3 linked regions of the Schizosaccharomyces pombe genome follow. The gene in region 1 interacts genetically with each later gene. Each region holds a gene or a part of one and is shown on either strand. Other genes may lie near its edges.

Region 1 (6,750 bases):
GAGAGGCTGCTTTACGGCAAATTATTCTCACAAATATTTGCCAAGCTATTTAATGTTGAGAAGGAGGAAGTATCGCTTGAAGTGCTTGAGTTGTCAAAATCGTTCTGCAGCCCTTAGTTGCTTTTTTTTTAAAAAAAAAAATAATTCTATAGGTGAAGACAATTGGATGAAACAGTAGTTTACGACAGTTTACAGTATTAAAATCAATCTGCACCAATCTATTCAACAATGATTCAAGACCATTTTCTCCATTTCACATTGAGCATATATCCACTTCTTTTGAAACAGGTAATCCTGTCAAAAAGAAAAACACCTTAAATGTGGTATTTTTTTGATGTGTGAATCTTGTAAACCTGATTACCATAAAGGCGAACACAGACCAAGATGGAGATTGTACGGATATTATTTATTTTCGTGAATTTTACAAATTTGACGCCTAGCTAAGTGTGCTTATGCTGTCCTCCTCAATATGAACTTGTTTGGACTTCTTATTGACCGTAATATCAACGTTGGTTATTCAAATCTTCTTAAAATAGAAGTTACAAATTACACCTATCATATTAATTAAATCTACTTGCTGATGTCGAAAATCAAGCGAAATAGCTGCAAAAGGAAGCTAAATTTGGACGATCAAGTCGAAGTCATTAAGACCACTCCTGATCTGATCAAAAATTGTAGGGATGGTTCTTAAGTTTAAAAAAGTTTTATTTTTTTAAACTAAAACATTCCAGCGCCTTTTTTTAACCTACTATCCCAAGTTGTGGTTGCCGAGGCTTTTCCCCGGACATACCAAACAGAGGTTTTTTCGATGAGTTTGGAAGAGCTATTTAACCTGAACAAGGTTGTTTCACCTAAAACAGAACAATGAAAAATTTGGTTGTTTTTGGTACAGAATCGCATCCCAAGCTTACAGAAAGTATTTGTGAACATCTTTGTCTTGATATAGGCCGGGTTGAACTTTCAAAGTTTAGGTAAGAAAGTACATTTGAGTGTTCGAAGAGTTTGTAGCAATTGGGAGGGTTGGAGTTGCCTATAAATCTTCTATTTATAATGATTTTCTTTAAAAGCTAAAGTCACTACTGAAAGTATGCCGTTTTACCCAACCATGATACGGGTCGATAGCTATCAAAAATTTTAGATAGTCGAGTAGCTTGCCCCTACTGACAGTTTTATACTCGCACTTTCAGTCCATTAATTGTTAATTGGTTTTTACTTTATGTTTAATTCATAATTATTTGATCTTAGTCTCTATTTAGTTAATGTTTTTAGTGACTGATAAAGATTTGGCAGCATCATCTTTGAATGCATACTCTTATTCCATTTTTGATTCCACCTCTTTATCACATCTATCTATGTTTTTCTATTTGATTATATTAACGTGTATTTATTGCAGCAATGGCGAGACTTCGGTGAGAATTAAGCAGTCCGTTCGTGGTTGCGACGTTTATATTGTTAGTCCAGCATCTGGACAGGTAAACGACCATTTAATGGAACTGTTAATTATGATTTCTGCTTGTAAAACAGCATCTGCTAAAAAGGTTACCGCCGTCCTTCCTGTATTCCCATATAGTCGTCAACCTGATCAAAAATTTTCCTTTTCCGGTGCTCCTTTATCTGACTTGCAAGATGCGGTTGTTCCATGCAAAAAGCAAACTGGTTATCACCCATGGATTGCACAATCCGGCACGCTAGTAGCTGATTTGCTTATGTGCTCTGGTGCTGACCATATAATCACAATGGATCTTCATGATCCCCAATTTCAGGGCTTTTTTGACATCCCTGTAGACAATCTTTTTGGCCGACCATTACTTAAACATTACATTTCTCTTAATATCCCGAATTATCATAACGCAGTAATTGTATCTCCCGACGCTGGTGGTGCCAAACGTGCTACTGCTATTGCTGATGCTCTGGGTTTGGACTTTGCTTTAATTCATAAGAATCGCCGACATGAATACGGAACATCTTTGATGCTTGTTGGTGATGTACAAAACAAAGTCGCCATCCTCATCGACGATCTTATTGATACCGCTTACACACTAGTTCGAGCAGCAGAGTTTGTCAAAGAACATGGAGCTAGCAAAATCTATGCTCTCGTCACTCACTGTGTTTTATCAGGAGATGCTATTGAGCGTGTAAAACTTTCTTGCATTGACAAGCTTATTGTTACAAACACCGCTCCTCAAACTATTACACCAAGTGGATGTTTTGACATAATCGATGTCGCTCCTACCTTTGCGGAGGCAATTCGTCGCATACACAATGGTGAGAGTATTTCAATACTGTATGACCACAATCAAGTTTGGGTTTAACTGTACGTTGTTCATATTATTTAATTTGTTTTGATCTAGTTGGCTTAAGACTATCCGATTTTTTTTGATACTATCAATTGTCCTTTTTCTTTACTTTAACTTTAGACAGTTACATTGGAAATAATTATTATTTACTTTGAGTTGACAAAATGATTATCAAGCTAATTTCCTAAAACTAATTTCAACTTAGCTAATCTCTAGTGTAAAACTGCTAAATATAAGGTTCTTCACGACCATTATATATGTACAAGCTATGTAGAAACTATATAGGCAGTCTAATTGCACGATTTCGTCATGTTTCATACAAAAAGCCTAAAATTGTCTGGGTAATGAAGCTTGTAGGTATTTCTATACATTTTAACAGTATGTACGCATACTGGTTAGACGGAAAAAAGATGAACAATAGAAATGGTGATAAATGGAGGAGCGAATCAACAAAACATAACTATATTCAATAATTTTTCAAACGTGGTCGGGAAAGGACGAATGGAAAAAACAAAAGAATGTCAGTATAAAAGAACATGGTTATCACATGATTAAATATAGTAAACAGGCAGAAACGACAGGAATTACAAGGTTATCGTCAAGACCCCACACATCCATAGCTTCTGCAAAGGCACCAATAAATCCATTTATCAAGCAAAGCCAAGGGAAAGGAATTCTGCTTTGAGCGGCCAAGCTGTCAGGACCGGTACGAAACAAGCCCCAGTACACATAGCAACAAAAAACACCACAAACGAATGCGCCCAAACTTCCAGCCAAACTCTTATTTTTGGCAATTTTCGGGGTATACTTGCCCCATTTTCGACCAACGGTTGAGGCAGTAGTGTCACACCATGACAGTAAAAGGACACTCATTACTGCTATCTCCTGAACTTAGTTAGTAACTATGGCATAATATATAAGTAAAAGAAGAAGGAAGGTGAAGTTAGGAAAAGATCAAGCAAGGCAAAGTAGATTTGAGTAATCATGATCAAAAATACTAACTTAAACTCTATGCAACAACAATATGCTTGGTCTGACAAATACTTAGAATAGAAAATCATTCTCCGTGAAAAAATGGGTTCTATAGAGTAGTATGTCCAGTAAAAAACAAAACCCTTCGGATCGCCTGGAACAAGGAAAACCATATCTTCCTTTTTCTTAAAGAATAATAACAGTAATGATAGACATTACAATGACTTTTACTTACCTCTGGAAAAACTTTTAAAACAATCCATACCCCGATCATATAAAAAATAACACCATTCCATGCATTTTTTTCGGACTCTCGCATCAAAGGACCAATAACGCGATTGTAAAGGCGGCTGAAAGCTGGCCAGTTAAAACGAATTACATCTCCAGTAAATGCAGGTATGAATCCAATTTCTATAACCGGTATGATTTGAGCAGCGTGGTATCCACATCCCTGAAGTAATAGAGCAAAAAATCCTAGACCCGGTTAATCCAAGTCATAAAAACAACTTACCAATAGAAGTATGGAGTGCTTTACGGGGAATTTCATGCTTTTTGGACCATTGCGACCACGTCAATTTAGTCGACATTGGATGAGTATTCGCTCAGTAGTGTTTTCCAATCTAAAGGTATTTCTAATGGGTAAAAAAAAAATAGCGATACCGGCCGTGATGCAAGGAATCGGTATATGCGAGGCAAGGAATGTTCTCGCATATAGCTCACTATTTTTTTATCGTTGCACTATTCCTCCTTATTCCGTAAACATTATGAGCTAAAGTCAAAATTAATAGAATGAATGACTTCCTGAGAGTCCCAAAAGAAACCGATTTATTTCCTTCATCAGTTGGAAAAAATTTATTTATTTATCACTGCCAATATAAGAGCTCGACTTCCTAGATGAATAGCATAGCTTTGAAAGTGATTCGCAGGATGACTCAGTATCAAAACGAATGGGTTATACACTATATGGCTTTAGATGTAAATATTCTTTAGATGATATATTAAGAGAATTAATAACTGCATCGACATACAGCCAATGCAGAATCATTTATAAGTCACTGAACCTTCAGAATAGCGCAACGTGGATTTCGCTACTTTACGAAACTTTAGATGCTATTGTGAGCTCTTACGTTTCGCTTTTTGTTGTCAAATATGGGAGAATTAATTGAAAATATAAAGACAATTCTCAAGTACGCGAAAGTTTCTATTAAAAAGTAAAATGATAACTTGAATATGTATGCTAATAAAATTCCTAAAAGAAACTGAAACCATTTTAGAGCTTATATCATTGCCAAGCAATTTTGAAAATTAAATGCGAAAACCATTATTCTTTAGTTGATGAACTAGAAGTAATAATTTTTATTTAATAATAATAAGTCTGCTCAAAATCAGGTTTATTTTCAGTTATTGGTTAATTGTTCAAATTGAAGTTTTATTAAAAAAAAAAAAAAAAAAAAAAAAAAAAACTATTATAATTTATGTTAAGACTACGTAAGTTCCTTAGGGTACGCGATTTGGTCTAGCAATTTAAATAAATAATAATAATATCAATATAAAAAAACTAGAAGACTTAAAAGCTTTTATGTTCACACGTGCATCGAAAATTGATTAAGGAATTCAACACATTAAATATATAATATAATAATAACAAGGTCTATGATTTAAAAAAAAAGAAAAAGTAATAAGTTCCATTAATTTAGATATCATTAAACAAGTATGTTGTTTGAGCATATGCAGTCAGTCCTACCTTTCTTTAATTCCCTGATTTCAATAAATTACTGAGATGCAATTTGTCCTCCATATTGTCAATATTATATTAAAGAGGTATACCAAAAATCAATTTCTCACTATGAGCTCCAAGCTGACAGTGTATCAAGCGACTACATCCATGGCGGATTCTCCTAGGGATCCGTTCCAATCGCGTTCACAGTTGCCTAGATTTCTAGCAACAAGCGTTAAGAAACCAAATTTGAAGAAGCCTTCTGTTAATTCTGCTAATGGTATGTGAAACTTATATTTGACGTTTGTTTATGGATCTGACACCCTGTAGAAACAAAAAATCCCAAACTAGCTTCTTTAGAATTTCAACTAGAAAACCTAAAAAATGATTTAAAGCGGAAGGAACTGGAATTTGAGCGTGAACAAATTGAGTTGCAAAGAAAACTTGCAGAAGAACATGAACAGAAGAATTCGTTACAGCTGCGTCTAACTCTAGTTGAAAAGCAACTGGAGGAGCAGTCTACTTCTTATCAAAAAGAAATAGAAGAAGTAAGAAATGAAAAGGAAGCCACTCAGGTGAAGATCCATGAACTACTTGATGCAAAATGGAAAGAGATTGCAGAGTTGAAAACCCAGATAGAAAAGAATGATCAAGCTTTAAGTGAAAAGAATCATGAAGTAATGGTCTCAAATCAAGCTTTGCAAATGAAGGATACCAATCTTACAAACCTTGAAAAACTCTTTGCGGATTCCCGCGAACAGCTTGAAACGAAGTGTAAGGAACTTGCGGCTGCCGAGCAGCAATTACAAGAGCTTTCAGTTCATAATCAGCAATTGGAAGAGTCCATCAAGCAGGTTTCTAGTTCTATTGAACTGGAAAAAATAAATGCTGAGCAACGTCTTCAAATTAGCGAGTTGGAAAAATTAAAAGCTGCGCAGGAAGAACGAATTGAAAAGCTATCATCCAATAATAGGAATGTTGAAATTCTCAAGGAAGAGAAAAACGATTTGGAGTCCAAACTTTATCGTTTTGAAGAATATAGGGATAAGGTTGCTACCCTTGAACTCGAAAATGAAAAAATTCAAACTGAATTAAATTCTTGGAAGAGTTTAATTACTAACGAGTTACCAACCCCTGAAGCTGTTTCAAACAAACTCGTGTTTCTACAGAATACCAATGCTAATCTCGGAGAGCGCGTTTCTAGTTTAGAGAGTCAATTGTCTAATAAGCCTGCAAACCAGCCGCTTGGTGCAAATGAAAAAGACGCCGCTCATATTACCGAACTTGAAACAAAGCTTAAAGAACTTCATGAGCAGAACCGACGTCTACAAAGACAAAAATCTTTGGCAACCCAAGAAATTGACCTTTTAAGGGAAAACCTTAAAAGCTATGATGATGAGGAGGCGATTTTGAGTGAAAAAAATACTGATATGAAGAAGTTGGAAAGAATTGAAGGTCTGGTCAAGCTGGTTGATGAATATAAGCTAAAGCTTGAAAGTATGCCTGTATCTCTTGATGTAGATGAGACTTCAGATGAGGTCTCATTACAAAAGAGACGCAGGAAAAACGAACATAAAGATGCTGGTTACGTAACGGAGCTATATCGTAAGAATCAGCATTTGCTTTTTCAAGTTAAAGAGAAAACCAACATTGAAGCCTTTCTAAGGGAGCAGATTATTACATTGGAATCCTCCATAGCAACTTTACGTCAAGAACTGGCACAAGTTACTGAAATAAACTCATGTCGAGTATTACAGCATCGAT
Region 2 (10,653 bases), on another chromosome or scaffold:
GCTCTAGAGGTTTTATCCTTGACGAATCCACCAAAGATTGATAACGCCTCTGCAGATACAACCTTACATAAAGAGACGAATAAGATCGATAAGCTGTATGTTTCGGAGAATAAAGCTGAAAGTGCTGTTGCATCTGAATCTTCGTTATCCGAAGGTACTCTCGCATTGAAAGCACCGGCACCGGAAAACAAACCTGAAAAGTCTAGTACATCGAAACCGCCAGTACCAGAAAATAAGGCTGAAGATTCTGTTGTATTAAAGTCGTCGGTACCAGAAGATAAATCTGAAAATTCTATTGCGTCGAAACCGTCGGCAACGGAAGGTATACCGGAAAATGCTATTGCGTTGCAATCATCGGTACCAGAAAATAAGGCTGAAGATTCTGTTGTATTAAAGTCGTCGGTACCAGAAGATAAATCTGAAGATTCTGTTCCGTCGAAGTCGTCGGTACTGGAGGATAAACATGAAAATTCTGTTGAGATTGATAAAAAAGCAGATGACTCATTACCTTCTAATAATAAAACTGAGGGTTATACACCTTCAGTAGTCCGTGAGGAAAAGAATTATTCTGAACCGAACGCTTCTCCTTCCGTAATACCTCCTAGAGTCCCTACTCCTGTGCCTGGTAGGACTTTAAGTCCAAAGCCTACTAGGATACCCACGCCTATTCCTTCTTCTTTGAACGTTTCTTTAGAGTCCTCAAAAAAGCCAGAGATTTTTCATGAGCGTCATATTCCGACTCCTGAAACCGGTCCTAATAAGCCATCGAAAAACAATATTTTAAAAAGCACTCAAGTTCCCGTTACTCCAAAACAAAAATCATCCACTGCTAACAAAGGTTCAACTTCTTCACCAAGTCCACCCTCTTCTGAATCAAAGAAAACCAAGAGGTCCTGGGGCCGTCTTTTTGTGTCTGGTGATTCTGATAAAGAACACAAAGAACACAAAAAAGATAAACAGAAAAAGAAGAATGACCAAATTTCTTCTTCTTCAAAGTCTGCTTCTTCTTTTAAAAAGGACCGAGACAAGGAAAGCATTTTTGGATCTTTATTTGGCTCGAAGAAAAAGCAGACGGAAATACCCCCTGTATCTTCTTCTCCACCGCATAATGATGCCCCACCAAAAGCAAAGCCAATTTCCGCACCTAGTGAATTGCCCAATACCACTTCTGTCGCAGAAGCTAAGTGTCAGACAGTGACAGATGACGAAGGTACCGATCAACAAAGTGATGAAAAGAGTACGGAACCAAAAACGTTTATTCCTGATAAGGATTATTACTGGAGTCGTTTTCCAATTTGTACTGAACGTGCCATTTATCGTCTCTCTCATATAAAGTTGTCAAACGCGCATCGCCCATTGTTTCAACAAGTTCTCTTAAGTAACTTTATGTATTCATACTTAGATTTAATTTCTCGAATTAGCTCAAATCGCCCGATGAATAATGTACAACAGTCTACTGCTAAACCAATACGCAAAGACATTAATGGACAACAAAGGCGTTCAGAGTTTTCAGCAGAAAATGTAAAAAACGAGCTGGAGAATCTCAGTTATCAATTTGGAGATCAGCGTAAGCGAAATCTTAATAGGAAAGGATCGACTATTCATACCGTTTCTCAAAATATTCAAAAAGTTTCAAAGAATGCTAAATAATCATTTTACCCTACTGCTATTCGTTGGTCTAACATTTTTCCTCATTGGTTAATTATTAGCATTTGGCGACTTTTGTTATATGTTACAGGGTCTTCATTGTCTTTAAAAATTTGTATCTTGTTCACCAACACTTTCTGGAAGCAGGTGGTTATTTATTTTCATGAGTTAAATATAAAATTCTTACTCAATGCATAAGTTTCTAATGAATTTCATTCGCTATGCTACTTTACATTGTAAGGGGAGTACGAAGTTACCCATTCTATAATAAATTACCAATTCTTTTTCGCTTTATATTTGTACATAGCCTCTATTTTGAAGTAATCATAGAACGCTACTGAAGTGCTATACAATAACTTTTTTTTTCTAAACAATGCTTAGGATAAATGAAAACTGCCCTGTCCTTCTAAAATAGCCTTAGAAAGTCGACTTCCTAAAACCTCACTTGAAGAATACTCAGGTAGTTTCAAATAATTCACACAAGTCATCACGCTTGGAAGATAATCATCAGGTACATAAGGAGGTTCATTTAAGCGCCTAACAACAGTTAACGGGGGATTTAGGCCAGCAAATCCTCCAATAGGAAGTTTTCGGCTTCCAGTAATAAATTGCAAAAAGTCTCTTTGTTCTTGAAAATTCATTTGACTCATCAAAGTCAGTAATCTCTGGATTGTAGGACTTTCCATGGTGTAACCGTGATCTGCTACTATAGATTTCATCAAGGTCGCGTAACTCCAATCCTCATCGACAGTACCGAATAGTGTGACCAATTCATGTTCTGTCAAAACTTGCAAAGAAGTATAAGGAAAAACGCTGGAAAACCCATTTTGAAATGCTTCTAATTGTTGTTGAACACCCTTTCCAACAGTATAGTCAATGACATAATTTAAATAATCACTCACATTGAATGTTGTCACAGGTGTACTAGCTCCATCAGGTATGAGTTCAATAGACGGAAATCCCGGTAGAGTAAAATCGAGATGAAGGTCTTCAAGCTTAATGTCCGTCTCGGCGTTTGTAGGGTTTTTACCCGGTATTAATTTCTCTAAATATCGTAACGAGTTAGCTAAGCCCTTGTCAACTTTCGCTACAGAGGAAATGGTTAAAGGTATATTTCGTGCAAAGAAAAGTGGATTAAACTGAATGCTTATTATCCTTGAATCATAAATCGAGCGTGCAACGAACTGTCCAAGAGCAAAGAACAACGAAATTTTTCTTTCATTTTCTGGACTGGACCCTAATAATGGAATAGGAGAAGGAAAAAGTCCAGACGCTTGGTACACAAATTTAGAGTTGGGTTGATCATTCCGCCAAATATCGAGAGAATTTAAGGTAAATTCTTTAGATACTGAAGTATAGAACTCCAAAGTGGGCCCAAGACCTGAACCAACTTCATCTTCGTATTCTATTTCAAGAATATTTTCAGAAGCCGCATAAGTTGCAAGCAAATGCAAAGCGTAATTAAATATTTTTTTCCGAGAAATACGAATTTTCTGGCGATGTAAGCTGACAAATTGAAGTATGGAGGAACTTTCGTTTTTTGATAGCTCAGGATTTCGGGACAAAAGAAAAGAAACGGATCTTGATAAACCAAAAGCAGTAGATTGCAATAAAAGATATCGAGTTTCAAACGGTACTAGGAATGGATATGCAGAGGTTAGTGATATACACCAGGAGGGTAAACAACCGTGAACAACAAGTTGTTGCTCTTCAAGTTGTCTATTCAATTTGGCACTCAACTTCCAGTTGCTAAAATCTGTAAGAATGTTTTCAATGTTGCCACGGAAATGTTTGTCAGGAAAGAGGGTATGAACGTCTCTAATCCCATAATACAAAATACTCAATAAATCCAATATTTCTCTAATATTTATAGAAAATCCCTCTGTTTCATTCTCATAGTTTAACTCCCCTTTCATATCATTGTGAATGCAATCAGGCTCACCATAAAATATTGGGACAGGAGTTTTCCAAAAATCATCGAGAGTATGATCGTCAGACAACTGTATATACTCATATAAAATTCTGAATATTGTTTTGTTTCGGGGTACCTTTTTACCCATCAAACTGAATACAAAATGTTCCTCGAAATGTGATGATGTCGAGGAGTCACGTCGCTCTGATGGCTCTGTTGTGTGATTAGGAGCATCTTGAGACATTGAGTCAGTATAGTCTCCTGAAGAGTTACGAGATGATCCACTCATTGACTCCCTCAAAGAACCGGCCTCGCGGAGGATTGAAAAACGACGTCCAGTTTCATTACGCACAGAAATGCGACTGTGAAGATAATTATCAAGTGTACGAATAGTAGCTAGCCCATTAATAGAAACGACAAGAGATCGGAAAGGTGGTCGAATTCTTGATCCCGGAAGAGCCATTAAACGAAGTTTAAACTGCCGCGAAAAAACATGATCTACCGCATTCTCAGTATCTGGGGGTAACGTTGAAAGTTGAAAATTCTCAACAGTTGAAAGTAGATTTTGCAAACAAAAGATAAGTGAAACTAAGGGACCATTACCAAATTCTAAAACTTCGCGTTCATCACATGTATTCATAGCTAACAAAAATGTTCGAAGAGATGAACTTCCAAATTTTTTGAGTGATAAAAGCAAATTATGAATTAATCCAGAATGAAGTAATTCATGACTAGTAATATTAGATCCTTCTTGAAATATTTTGGCTAGTTCTGAAAAAGATTCGTCTTGTTTGGTCTCACTTAATAAATGTTTAGACAATTGTTTAAGTTGAACTAATGTTGAGTTTTCTAAATTTTCTTCCTTATAATTAGAGAGAAACTCCTTGGCAAGGCTCTTTAACGTCGATAAATTCTTCAACTCCTCATGACGAGCAGCAGATTTGTTTTGTGAAAAGGAAATACTTAACTTTATTTTCTTCATGTCTGCATTGGTAGAGCGAACTAAAAATCCAACCTCCTGTACAACGCCTTCTCGTATAAATAACGAAGAATAAACATTAGGAAGTGCTTCAAGCAAAAATAGACACATTTCTAAAGCATCTCGCTTCAAGAAATTGTCAGATTTGCGTGAATTTAAAATTGAAGCAATGAATGATGATAAAGGAAGAGAACAAACTAAGCCATCTAAATTATTTTCCCTAATTGAACATAACATTTTCAATGCCGTAGTCACAGCTAACGATCGGATATCATGAAGGGGCACAATAAAATAAATGTCCATTACAACAGTTAAGAGTATACTGTTTAATCGATATAGTTTCGTGTTAAATTCATCAGACAAGTTACTAGTGTTTTTAGGAAGCAAAGAAGTTATAGCTCTTAACAAGTTTTCTATTAACTCGATCGGACAATAATACAAACTTTGCATTGTAATCATATCAGCCTGATGGGATGTATCAGAAGGTGGTATTCCACACAGCATTTCGTACATCACATCCGGCAAATTATGGTTAAGAAAAGGTAAAATCAAAGCAGAAGATGACTGACACAAAGATGATATTATATGTAATAGCTGCACTTGTAAGTGCATTGACTTATTTTGTGAGGTAGAATTAGTCAAAGCATTGACAATAGTGGTGATCAAATCCTCGGAAATTATCGTTTCAATTATGTTTGGTGAAGTTTTCAAAGATTCAATAATTGTCTCCAGGCAAGAATATGCCTTACTAACGACTATGGTATCAGAAGATTGTAGAATATTAGAAAGCAATGGAATAATTTCTTCTGCTGCGGAAGCATTGGATTCATCCAAAAACTTACAGCAATTAGCAGCCAGAGAAATAGCTGTCCGTTGAACTGTAGTATAAAAAAAATCAAAGTATTGGAGAGCAGCTAACATTCCTCTGTGTTCCAAAATACAAATACCAAAATCTTTAGAAAGCCGTTCTAAAACTCCTAAAGCTTGTTCAGCAATATCAATGTATTGCATATCAAACATTCTTTCACACAGAATGCGAACAATAGGACTATATGCTATTTTAGCCATACATAAAGGCAAAGCTTCCATCATATTAGATACACAGGTAGTACAGGATAGCATAAGTTGAATAGAGACTTCTCCGAAATCATAATTTCGCCCAGATAAGATTTCGGAAAAAGCCGCAATGTATGAATCGGTTGAAAACAATCCAACAAGCATATCTTCAGTACTCATAGCAAACGCTTCGGAAAGTTCTTGAAGAGAAAGCATTTGAACAGTAGGATCACTAAAATCCTTTATTCCTTCTAACAAGCGTCCAAATTGAACACCTGGAGCAGAAAATGCAGAACGAAAAGGATGAAAGGAACTATTGAAACGGTATGTCTGTGGACCTAAAGAAACATCTTCGTCATCAGAGTTCTCCAAATTACCGGAAGAAAGTATAGAAGACGCTAAACTTTGAAACTGATTACCTCTTCTGATTCTTCCCAGTTCATTTAACAAGTTAGTTTCATCGTATTCTTCGATTCCACTCATGTTCATGTTTTCTTGTTCATTAATAACAGCGGCTGAAGGATTAGGTGAACCGTTTTCGCTTCTTAACTCGTCATTTTCATTTTCATCTTCATCGTCTCCCTCATCATTGTTTTCATCATCGTCTTCTTCCTCCTCTTCATCAACATCTTCATCTCTTTCATAACTTTCACTGCCACTACTGGATTCATCGTCTTTGTACTCGTTATTATTTATATCATCATCAGTTCCATCATTAGTATCATCATAGACGTGGTCATCTTGGTCATTATATTGGGACGAATCAGTAGAAGTATGATAGTTGCTGGAGTCAGAATACGTAGTTTCATAAGAGTTTGAATTCCCAAACTTGGTTAAGCCACTTTTGTCATTAAAAGTTATGTTCTTTGGTTCCATAACTGATTTATCAAATGGAATGATATCAACTTCCGCCTTTTTGTCTAATGCAGAATCAACCGAAGCATTGCTTAAAACGCGTTCATAAGAATTCAGTATATCCGATTGCTTATTAAGAGGCAACACACCTTTATCGGATTTCACTAACTGGGGTTTACCTTTGAGCTTTTCATTAAAGGATTTAAAGACCCTAGTTTTGCTCGTTGTAAGTGGTTGTTCAAGCAATTCGGAAAAATCATGCCGCATATTTAAATGCCTTCCAAATTCCACACTTTTACTAGAAGGTGGTTCAGAAATTTTGGCAGATACCTCCATTTTTAAAAAATGTTTAGTTGCTCTGCGTTTCTTTGTAAATGGCAATTCTTCAGAAGTGTTTAATCTATGTTTGTTGTCGGACTTACTTCGTAGGTTTGGTATAAACACAGGTGAGTTGGTTATAGATTCACTATGTATTAAATTCGGTAAATTCGGAGTATTCGTATACGCTTGAACAGACATGAAATAACAAAATGTCGCTCAGAAAGGCTAATTTAATAAACAAAATTTGGAAGCCTTTCGGCGAGCGATTGGAGTGATTGTTAATTACAATCCAACAAAACAATCAAGTAATTTCTGAACCAAGGAGACAAAATCCCAGTTTTAATTTGATCCTTCTATGATCTCTTGTTTAAGGCGGAATGTGCTGTTGACATAGGGAGATGGCAAAAGCGTCGACAACAAGGGCGCACCATTATGTTGCCGTAGTATGTGTTATAGTAATACGTTATTACTCTAAGTACTATTGTTTTTTTCTGTCTTTTACTGTCATTAAATATTTTTAAATTTGTTTTTTATTTGCAAGATGCTGTATTTTATTTATTGATTCAGCTTTGATTCACACTCGTTAAACGTACTTTTGTAGTCGATCGATTGTGTTTTTACAAGCATAATTGACGATAGTGAAATGAGATGCTCACTTAGTATTCACTAACATACATCAGTTATATAATATTAAGTTTACATTCAAATTGTTTTGTACAGTCTAGCGGGTACGAACTCTTGAACATGGAGCGGACGTAATGAAATAGTTTCTAAAACTTTTAACAATTATTCAACAACACGGTGGGTCTAGTTTTTGCCCTAGGTAGAAATTTACTTGAACGTCGTGAAATTCTTTCGTAACTATTTCACGAAAAAAATAAACACAAAACAAAAAGATTTAAAATATGAACATACAGCGAAAAACAAGTTGTAGCTGCGCAATTACATGCACGAAAGGGTAATATTTGCGGAAAGTTAAATAATCTATCTTCTATTTTCAAAACCAGGTTGTTCGCTCAAATTCTTTTGAAGCACTAAACGGCGCAATCCGAAAAACGATAGATAATCGAAAGCTTCATCAACTACAGGAGTAAAGTCTTTTCTTTCAAAAGCCTTCAACATTGGGTCGGTTGAATAAACTCGTGCTGAGACCACGTCAGCACCCATCTCCTTCGCCTCACGAAGTGCTGAATCTAGGAGATCAAACGCATACTGATAAAATTTAGGAATGACAGTCCAGTGGACAATAGTTGGTGTGTTTTGGTATGCACCAGGAGCATTTGCAGGCAAGATACCTATAATACCAATAACTCGTTCTTTGTCAATGCGGGCCATATAAAAATGTTTAAGATTCTCTTCAGCCAAGCAGCCGTCAGGTTGATTGTCTTCAGTGCTAATCTTTGCATACACATTTCTACAGGGAAATTCAATCAACGTCAAAAAGACAGCGCTAACCAATATTAATAAAACAAAAGTTCGTAATTTTGTATTTCCTTCTACCATGTTTGTTAAGCGATATATCCCCATAAACACCAAACCAAAAACCGCAAGATACAACGGGTGCCAAAAGATTTTTTGAGAGAGATTTCTCGATTGACCGTTCAACGCATTCATGGCAATCGATCGAATACTCGACAGCTCCGCAAGGGTGGGACGACGAATATCAATTCTTTTACGTTGCACATTCGACATTTTTATGTAATTAAATATTCTTTTTTGCTAATCTTTTTAAAATTTATTGTCACAATATTTCTTTTACAATTACCTTCTACTGTGAAATTTAAGAAGATGGAGGTTCGTAAGTGGAGTAGGTAAGAATGAAGCCATTATACCACCATAGATTTACCCAACCCTTGGTTGTTTCAGTCAATTTTTGCGAATTGTAATTTCATACAACTAGAATTTGATCAAATCTACCCTCTTATTAAATGATTGAGATTATTGATTCTATTGATAAATCACATTTAGGGTCAACTAGCTTTTAAAATGTTTTTAGGAATAGAAAAGAATATTGTGACGATCGAAGTAACATTTCTAGCTGAAATAACAATTGGATTTATAAGCTATATCTTCAGTTACTAAATAATTAGTTTCTACAATTTTTTTAGGCTTGAATATTAAATCTTTAAATAATTCCTAGGATAAAAAGAGTATAATGTATACATAGGAACAGAATATACATTTAAAAAAAATGGCAATTGAGTAGAGAAATAGGGAAGGTAATAATGCATCGATTAGATTGCATAACAAACTTTACATGAATCCGAAAACCAAGGATAGGAAATCCATTTACAGTATTTTTCACTATATAAATTAAAGCTTCATAGATTACACTACTTTCAGCGTGCCTATTTTGACCAAGAGTGAAAATATACTACACTCACAAAACGTATAAATGCTGAATTTTCACTTCTTGCAAGTTACAAATATTGCAAATTTCACCGTTTTCGAAATTCTTGTATAATAGGGCCTTACTAACTAGCTCATAACATTATAAAGCTATAACACAACGATAAGTTTTTTGAGTGATCAAAATTATTTTACACAGTTAATTTGCCAATGATTTGGTTATATTAAGAATTATAGATACTAAATAGTATTACACTTTACGAATAACTTAAAAACTATACTAAAGAAAGAAGTTCCATTGCATTATCCTTATTCTTAAATAGCTTTTGAATATAAAAAAGCAATGAAGAGTACCCAAGGGGACAGAAACGTAAATAATTCCTGACACGTAGTATATAGTGATGGTTAACGGGATACAATATAATCGTGCAAAGTGCTAATAAAGTTTTGTTTCAAAGCAATGCAGTATGTATCTGCTATATTTTAACGCAAGTTTAAAGAGTTCTTTATTTGAACTATTTAATGAGTTTTAAAAAATGTGATTGATCCAAATATTGCAAAGAATAGTGTATTGAAATATTTACCTCAAGCAGCTTCAATAAATGTTAAAATGAAACACATACCCTTTTATTAACGTAAATTGGGTTTGTTCTTTAATTAGCGTTATTTATGTCGCTTTCATATTATAAGTGACACGCTACTCCTTTAGAAGATTTCAACAAACTGTACGGTCGAGCTAGTCGGTTAAGAACATTTTACGATTTTGCAGGAAATTCAGTCTTCTGCATAAGTTTTAATTATAAATTAATTTGTTCGAATGCGATTTCGTATACTCCTATTTTAATTCTCATTGATTAATAAAAGAGAAAGCAGTAGCTTAAAAATCGCTCTTCTTACTAGATTCACTAATTTAAATACATTTCTTAATTGTCTTTTACGACTTCATTGAATAGAAACTTCTCAGTACTTGAGGTCGTTACCATTTGGATTGTTTCAGCAGAACTTTCACTTCTTATCCTTTACCTAACTATATTATGCAAACGATGTCTTCTGGAATTGCCCGTCCGGTTCTGTTTTTAACTGCTCGCGAGGGAGAATATGTTTTGAAGGATGAATTTCAATTAGGCAGTTCATCACGTTCTACTCCTCAAATTACCGGTTCACCTTTAGATCCAAACACGCCTGTAAAACGTCTGTTCTTTATGCGGATAAATATTGCTCAATTCTCCCGTTGGGATTACCCCTATCCACGAGAATATATTGAAGAACTTAAGAAAATTCATGGCGTTCATCATGTTGAAGAGAATAGAGATGTCCCCTCAATTCTTGAAAATTATCGCAATAGTAAACGAAAGTCCCACAACTTTTCTTCCTCTAACACTCCTTATTTGAAGCTTCACAGACCGGCCTCTCGTGCTGGTGCTCCTTTAATCAATGCTAAATCCTTTATCTCCTCCCTTACATTTCATGACAACATAGTACGTTCTTTTCAGCCTTCTATTCATGGTAAAACCTTTGTGTTTGCTAATCACGA
Region 3 (7,736 bases), 1.2 Mb from region 1:
CGAAAATCCAAACGATGCGTTCCTGTGTCTTTGGTTGTTTCCAAATTCATTTTTTTCGTTCTCGGTCATTGCGTTCCATTTTCGATCACGATATTTGTTTAAGCTTACATAAAAAATCTTAGATAAGACATAAACAAAAATATTAAGGCAGCAAATACCAAGAACTCTATTACCACGTGGATAAAGAGGTTTATCATCATTACGGTAATATTTGAAGAAATGATAGACCCGATTTGATCAGAAATATTATAAAGTGAAGCCGAAACTGTTCTGTTTCTTACAGAATTAGAATTACGCGAACACCAACCTACCTGAATTCCATGAGAGTACGGGCTGCCAACAATTAATGCTGAAATGACATAAATCACCCACTTATTTTCATTAGCAGGGAAGCAGTAAAGTGCAATCAATAGCGGAAGAAGCCATATTTAACCAATTAGCGAAACTAAAGATCGTTCATCAAGGAGAGCACTCAGGTAATTTAAAAACAAAAGTAAAAACATGTGAATAAATTTTGATGGAAGAGTTAACTAATTAGTCTTTACAGTCGAAAACCAAAGAATTCTTAAAGTAAGGGTTAAATATGTAGTAGGAGGAGTTTTAGGAATTTCAAATAGCAACCCAATGATATACAATGGATACATTTTCCAACTTTTAATTGCTTGGAATAGAGTTTTTGGAGTAATTGCTTCTCGGTTATGCATTTCAGCTTTTGCAAAATCATCTCTGAGAACCTTATTAACAATTATTTTCTCTTCTCTCTCAGAAAACCATCCCTTTCTCCCTCGAAACATGAAGCCGTTTGCATTGGACTTGGTGGTAATAAATAGATAATCCTCCAATAAAGTAATAAAACCTTTAGTCAAAAACAAGTATGCCCAACCTGGCTTTCCATGAAGTCCACGCATCTTTAATATGCCTACAGCTACAATAAAAGCAAAAATATCTGACAAGGTATTAGAAATCCAAAAAAATTGCTAAGCGTAAAGAGATTTCTTGTCCATTATAAAAATAAGATTAATACAAGATGACGACGGGAATAAACCCTCCTTCAAGCATACCTAGAAGCCATCTCATAATTTAAAATAATGCTGTTCCACTTAAAGAATATTGACAAATATAAACAATGCTCCATAAAACCATTTGGGTTGGAATCCAGCGATTGGGACCTATCTTCTTGCTAATTAATTGAGATGGCAGTTTTGCCGCTAAAAAGGAACAATAAAATATTGTCATACCCTTATTGTAATCATTAGTATTCATTCCTAAATCATCCAACATGTTATCTGAAAGGGCTTGTTGAATATTGGCACGATCTAATTCTAGTGCAAAAAACATAATGAATGCCCATGAAATAATGAGCATATCTATTTTACGAACAACTTTTTGTTCCTGACCCATATCCATCTAAAAAAAGGATCGATGCGGTGTCTACTTTCATAGTAAGGACTAGGTTTGAAAGCAGCTAACGTATTAGGATCATCAAAAATGGATTTTTTTGTTGTAATGGAGTTTGGATCTAGCTTTCTCCGTTTCCAAAAAAATTTCGAAAATTCCTAGGGCTCTCCAAGTTCAAGCATATTGTCCTCATGAGCAGATTCATCATCACCTAATTTCTCAAATATAGATGCTTCATCCTTTTAATCAGTATCGTAGATAATACCATTTTGATATACTTCATGTTGCTCATCTGAGGACTCGCTTTCACTTTCAATAATGCGTTGTTGAACTAAGTTGTAATATTTCTGGTTTAATCAGCTAATGATCCACCGTATACGATTTTTCCAAGTACTATAGTTAAAAAAAGATGTCCGCTCAAATAAATATTTATATGCCTATACTAGTAGCACTTTACATGCCGCTACATTATATATAAAAGTGAACAGCCAATTAATTTTGCTTTTTAATCATTTCCAAGTCATTTAAAATTCCTTGCAATAATAAGCGTATATGGGAATGTAGTTAGCACAATTACTTGCTTCGGCTCAGACAACCTATTATTATAATACAGCTTATTTTATAATAATATTATTAGCTTTTTACCCATCGAACACAAATGAAAACATGCTAAGAAAAGGAATGTTTAAACAAAATTATTATAGTCATAATCTAGGATGCATTTACCGAGTAACAATGACAACTTAACACGTGTAAATTCTAATTTGTAATTAAAACGATTTGCTATTACTATTTAAATGTAAACCAAGTTTGAATACATCCGATATAATAATGAGTAAAAAGAAAATAGTGGGTGCTGCTCAATAAGTTTACACTTTAACATAATATCAGACCAAATCTGATAAATATGAATTTACGTAACTCTTTTGATATAATTTGAATTCACTTATAATTGCAATTGATAGTACCAAAAGTGCGTTGAAGGGAAATGATGTATGGATTGTTTGAGAATGTTACATCTTTTCTCGGATCCAACATTACGCAAAGATCCTTTCTGTACAACAACTTAATCCTTTAACTTTACAAGTTCCTACAATTGAAACAAGTTGTTTTTGTATATTGTGAATGTCTTAAGATGTTCTTTATCTGTATTTTTTAACAATTGGTCCACTATTTTTGAACTTAGGAAGTCTAATTATTGGACGGCCCTTAGTTACGGAAACAATTTACCAAGAAAAAAATCTTCAGATATATAGCATTAAGCTTTATTATGATACATCTCGATACTTTTATACTCTTCATATCTTCATATATATTACGTCCACTAATCGAGATTATTAAATTCCAATTGTAATAATTAAGTATTATTTTAATTTCAAACGAAAAGAGAATCCGAGGTCAGTTGTAAATTAATTATTACCACTTAGTATGAAAATATTCGTGTCTGATATTTCATATCAATAAGACAATACAAAGGACCAAAACGTAATTTTAATCGCAGTTTACCCCCATTAAATTGTATGAAATTCGTATCACTCAACAAATCTAGGTATAAATATGATTTTTCTCAGTTATTGTCAAAAGCAAAATGTTATTATATCTAATTTATCTCATAGAAAATATGTTGAATCTTCCACTGACATTTCTCGTTGAAAGTTCAAAATAACGAAAATCGACGTCCTTGTTAATTATCATTTGGTATCTTTTAGAAAATTAATGTTTTCTTATATGTATAAAGCTTCAAAATCTATTTAGGTTCCTTTGTAGTATATTACCGAAACCGATTTTTTCTAGAGTAAAGCATTTATTGATATAAAGATCAATTAATATAATTTGGCGAGTGTTTAAATATTTTCACATATTTTCCTTTGGGATTGATAACTCAATTAATATTTCCTTGATAAATAAAAAAAAAAAGTCAATTCCTGGTCAGTAAACTCAGTTTTGCACATATTGAGTGAGTGACAGTAATTAGTTTTAAACTTGATTTACTGAATCTTATCTCTAAAATATTCAGATAAGTAAATTACAGTTTGATCCAGTAAATTGGAATGTATGAGTATCTTTTTTAATATGGATGATGTTACTCAAAGCTTACGTGATAGCACGCCATACTTCTTCATTAGGTATTTGTAATTTTGCAATCTATTACGGAAGACAATTGTTGCAAATATATTTTTTCATATTTTAATCAACTTGTGGGCTGTCTCTTGTCTCACATGCCCTTTATGAACATAAAATAAAAATTACAGTTTGAGCTGCATAAAAATTTATTCGCAATCAAAAAAAATTTGAATAGTAACTATGGCTTTTAATAAACAAGCTGAATCTAAAAAACCAAACTTTTTGGTCATCGTAGCTGACGATCTTGGATGGTCAGATGTTTCTCCGTTTGGAAGTGAAATACACACTCCAAATATTGAGAGGCTTGCAAAGGAAGGTGTACGGTTGACAAACTTTCATACAGCCTCTGCTTGCTCGCCTACTCGATCTATGTTATTAAGCGGTACAGACAATCACATAGCAGGTTTAGGGCAAATGGCAGAGACAGTACGCAGGTTTTCGAAAGTATGGGGTGGAAAGCCTGGGTACGAAGGCTACCTAAATGATAGAGTTGCTGCATTACCAGAGATTCTACAGGAAGCGGGTTACTATACCACAATGTCTGGAAAGTGGCACCTTGGACTAACCCCAGATCGTTACCCTTCAAAGCGAGGATTTAAAGAATCTTTTGCACTTTTACCTGGAGGTGGTAATCATTTTGCATATGAACCTGGTACTAGAGAAAACCCTGCTGTACCTTTTTTACCACCATTGTATACCCACAATCATGATCCTGTTGATCACAAAAGCTTAAAAAATTTTTATTCGTCCAATTACTTTGCAGAAAAATTAATTGATCAGTTAAAAAATCGTGAAAAATCCCAGTCATTTTTTGCTTACCTCCCATTTACAGCACCTCATTGGCCGTTGCAATCACCAAAAGAATATATTAATAAATATCGTGGACGATATAGTGAAGGCCCCGATGTGTTACGAAAAAATCGCTTGCAAGCCCAAAAGGATTTGGGACTTATACCAGAAAATGTAATTCCAGCACCTGTAGATGGAATGGGAACCAAGTCATGGGACGAACTAACAACAGAAGAGAAAGAATTTTCTGCGCGAACGATGGAAGTTTATGCTGCAATGGTCGAATTATTAGATTTGAATATTGGTCGTGTTATTGACTACTTGAAAACTATTGGAGAACTTGACAACACATTTGTTATATTTATGTCAGACAACGGTGCAGAAGGGTCAGTTTTGGAAGCAATCCCGGTATTAAGCACAAAACCACCGGTTAAGTATTTTGACAATTCACTGGAAAACTTGGGTAATTATAATTCATTTATTTGGTACGGACCAAGATGGGCACAGGCTGCGACCGCTCCTTCTCGACTTAGCAAGGGTTTTATTACAGAAGGTGGTATTCGATGTCCTGCTATAATTCGCTATCCTCCATTGATCAAGCCAGACATCATCTCCGATGAGTTTGTTACGGTTATGGATATCCTGCCAACCATCCTTGAGTTAGCAGAAGTCCCTCACCCAGGGCACAAATTTCAAGGACGAGATGTTGTAATCCCCCGTGGGAAACCTTGGATTGACCATTTTGTGCATGGAAAACCCGTACACAAAGATACTGACTTTAGCGGCTGGGAACTTTTCGGGCAAAGAGCTATCAGAAAAGGAAATTATAAGGCAATATATGTACCTAAAGAAGGAATAAAAACAGAATGGGAGCTGTATGATCTTTCCCAGGACAAAGGTGAGCTTGAAAATCTAGCGAAAGTCCATCCAGATATTCTAAACGAACTCATCGAGTATTGGTTGGTCTACGAAGCTGAAACTGGAGTAGTAACAGCCCCAGACGATTTTGTTGCCGAAAACGTCGGTTTGTTCAAACCAGCTAAGCACAATCTTTAATGATTATTCATGATATTGAATTTTACAATAATTTTTTACTGTTAATGAAACACCACATAGCAGTTTATTAATGGTAAAAAACTTATTGCAAATATGGAACTCGGGTTCAGCTAATTGTTTAATTTAATGGGCTATTTCCAGTCTTTTACTTATTAAACACCACAGTTTAAAGATTATAAAATCTAATAATAGCTGATTTCATCTATCAACGTATATATGCTAAGTTACCAATTGATTCAATGTTTTTTAAATATGATAATCTACAGCGAAAATTATCAGATGGAATGCAAAGCCGAGCTGAAAAATTTAACTGGTTTGGATTTCCCCTACGTATTAGGCTTTATAATTGATATAAAAATACTTTTTTAGAACATCTCTTTTTCAATCGCAACTTTGCAGCAAAGTAAACTATGAGAAACCATTGGGGATAAAAATCGACCTCCATTTTATTTAGCAATGAATGCTAGTTCTTCTTTTCAATCTATGTAAATAGTAACTGAATAAAGCTTTCAGCAATATATACAAACAAAATTTCAAACTATTCTTCGCTAAAGACGAAGATTACTATTAAAGGTTAGGAATCCTAAAGGAAACAAAAAAACAAGTAAATAAAGCAACTGTCTTGTAGTAGTCTAAAATAAGTTAAGAGTTTACGGGCAAGTAGTTTAAAAATACAAAATTTTGCAAAAAAAAAAGCAAATAGTAGAAGGATTTTTCATGACTGTTGGGAATTTGAAATTATTTTGTAAACATTTCTCATGAATACTTCAAAAAGTTATTTTTTAAGATTTATTCCTTCGTTTAAATGGATAATTATAAGGGATAAATAAACGATAGGTTCTCCTGGTCTGTCAAATCAAGCATAGAATTTTCGTAAAAACCGGAAACGTGATTTCCAGAAGAATCAATCGTCTCAATCCAAGTCTTTTCATACTGTTCTTTATTCTGCTCAAGAAGAGCAAGGCGCTTTTTGTTCCTTCGAACAAGAATCCAGCGAATGATCAGCAATACAAAGGGAGAAACAGACCAAGCAATTACTATTTGAACAATCCAAGCAGGATAATATCTCGGGGCATCACGACTCTGCCACATTTGTGGGCCAATGATGTTGGCAATGGCATATCCAATCATAAACATAACACCACGAGTAAGCTTCTTTGTGTATCCAGCACAAGAGGCTGTTGTCCATCCAAGAGAAATAATAAAAGGGATACCAAAATTGCTTGCTATAATAATAGCTGCTAACTCCCCAATTTTATGATCCCATGACATGGCTACGCACGCAATTCCTCCGGCAATACTTGGGATATACCATATAGCTCCGTGAAAGGCACTTTGGTTTTTTATCACACTCATCATATAAGTTGCTATAATTGCGCTAACGCAATTATATCCGGCACTAGCGACGCCCACCAAGGTAGAATTCAAATCAGAAACATTCAAGCTTGTAAAAAGTAAATTTTGTTGGTAAGCTAAATTGTTGGAAAGTTGATTGCAAAAAACATGAAAAGTAAATAACCATGTCACTGGATCCTTTAACGCCTCGATTACTTGATACTTCTTGAAAGTCTTCGACTCAATACCGCTATGATTACTTCTACGTACACGGTCAACTGTGTATAATCTCTCTTTCTTGGTCAAGAATCTAGCAGTAGAAGTATTATCTGGGTAATAAAAAAAGAGTCCAATAGTTAAAAAAAATGTGATTCCTCCGACGATTATCATAAAGAGCTTCCAAGGAGATATGGTGTTTTTTGCATATTGGACTCCATAGGCTATAAACCCTGCAGGAATATTACAGCCATAGCATGAAATATAGAAAAAGGGCTGAAGAAGAGCTTGCTCAGAATGAGGGAAAAACATGCCAATGGTTGCTTCCATGGTAGGTAGCAACGAGGATTCTACAAGACCCAGAAAAAAACGAAGTGCCATTAAACCACTAAAATTATATGCGGCGCAATGCAAGAAAATTATAATCGTCCAGAGAGCCGTTGAAGCAGCAACAAACTTACTGACGGGAAATCTTTGCAGTAACATATGACCAGGGATCTGTCCAATAACAAATCCCACATAAAAAAGCGTATTTATATCATTGTATTGGTTGCTATTTATGTGTGTATCTTCAAATAATCCAAGGATACTTGAGTAACTTAGTGTGGCCTTGTCAATGTATAACATCATATCCAGTATCATGAGCATTACAAGTACAGTAAAATACAATTTCCAACGCAATCTTTTATCTTGTTTAGGTGTGAGCGGTTCTAGATCTTTAGCTTCTTGCATAAAACTGAACGTTTCGTCAAGCACTGCATTTGACACATCTGGATGCGACTGAGACGAGCTCTTAGAAATATGAGAAGTTATAACAT

The links. A genetic interaction does not mean that the proteins touch.
Region 2: mutations in ptp4 (region 1) and SPOM_SPAC12B10.01C together harm fitness more than expected from each alone (negative genetic interaction), as found in Schizosaccharomyces pombe (one large-scale study listed by BioGRID).
Region 3: mutations in ptp4 (region 1) and SPOM_SPBPB10D8.02C together harm fitness more than expected from each alone (negative genetic interaction), as found in Schizosaccharomyces pombe (one large-scale study listed by BioGRID).

The regions. Positions count from the first base shown.
Region 1 is NC_003423.3:1,275,464-1,282,213, reverse strand, and holds ptp4 (phosphatidate cytidylyltransferase Ptp4), read right to left. Parts: upstream 3,870-6,750; 5' UTR 3,857-3,869; coding exon 3,781-3,856; intron 3,744-3,780; coding exon 3,505-3,743; intron 3,183-3,504; coding exon 2,841-3,182; 3' UTR 2,415-2,840; downstream 1-2,414. Other genes in the region: ribose-phosphate pyrophosphokinase Prs5, read left to right, coding at 865-971, 1,394-2,312; mitotic spindle checkpoint protein Mad1, read left to right, coding at 5,155-5,266, 5,317-6,750. UniProt on the Schizosaccharomyces pombe protein: CTP-dependent diacylglycerol kinase that catalyzes the phosphorylation of diacylglycerol (DAG) to phosphatidate (PA). Controls phosphatidate levels at the nuclear envelope. Counteracts the activity of PA phosphatase ned1.
Region 2 is NC_003424.3:4,568,474-4,579,126, forward strand, and holds SPOM_SPAC12B10.01C (ubiquitin-protein ligase E3), read right to left. Parts: upstream 7,171-10,653; 5' UTR 6,969-7,170; coding exon 2,025-6,968; 3' UTR 1,832-2,024; downstream 1-1,831. Other genes in the region: zds family phosphatase type A regulator Zds1, read left to right, coding at 1-1,650; acetylase Sdg1, read right to left, coding at 7,755-8,462; bun62 (WD repeat-containing protein), read left to right, coding at 10,154-10,653. UniProt on the Schizosaccharomyces pombe protein: E3 ubiquitin-protein ligase which accepts ubiquitin from an E2 ubiquitin-conjugating enzyme in the form of a thioester and then directly transfers the ubiquitin to targeted substrates.
Region 3 is NC_003423.3:81,398-89,133, reverse strand, and holds SPOM_SPBPB10D8.02C (arylsulfatase), read left to right. Parts: upstream 1-3,615; 5' UTR 3,616-3,702; coding exon 3,703-5,367; 3' UTR 5,368-5,905; downstream 5,906-7,736. Other genes in the region: SPOM_SPBPB10D8.01 (cysteine transporter), read right to left, coding at 6,181-7,736.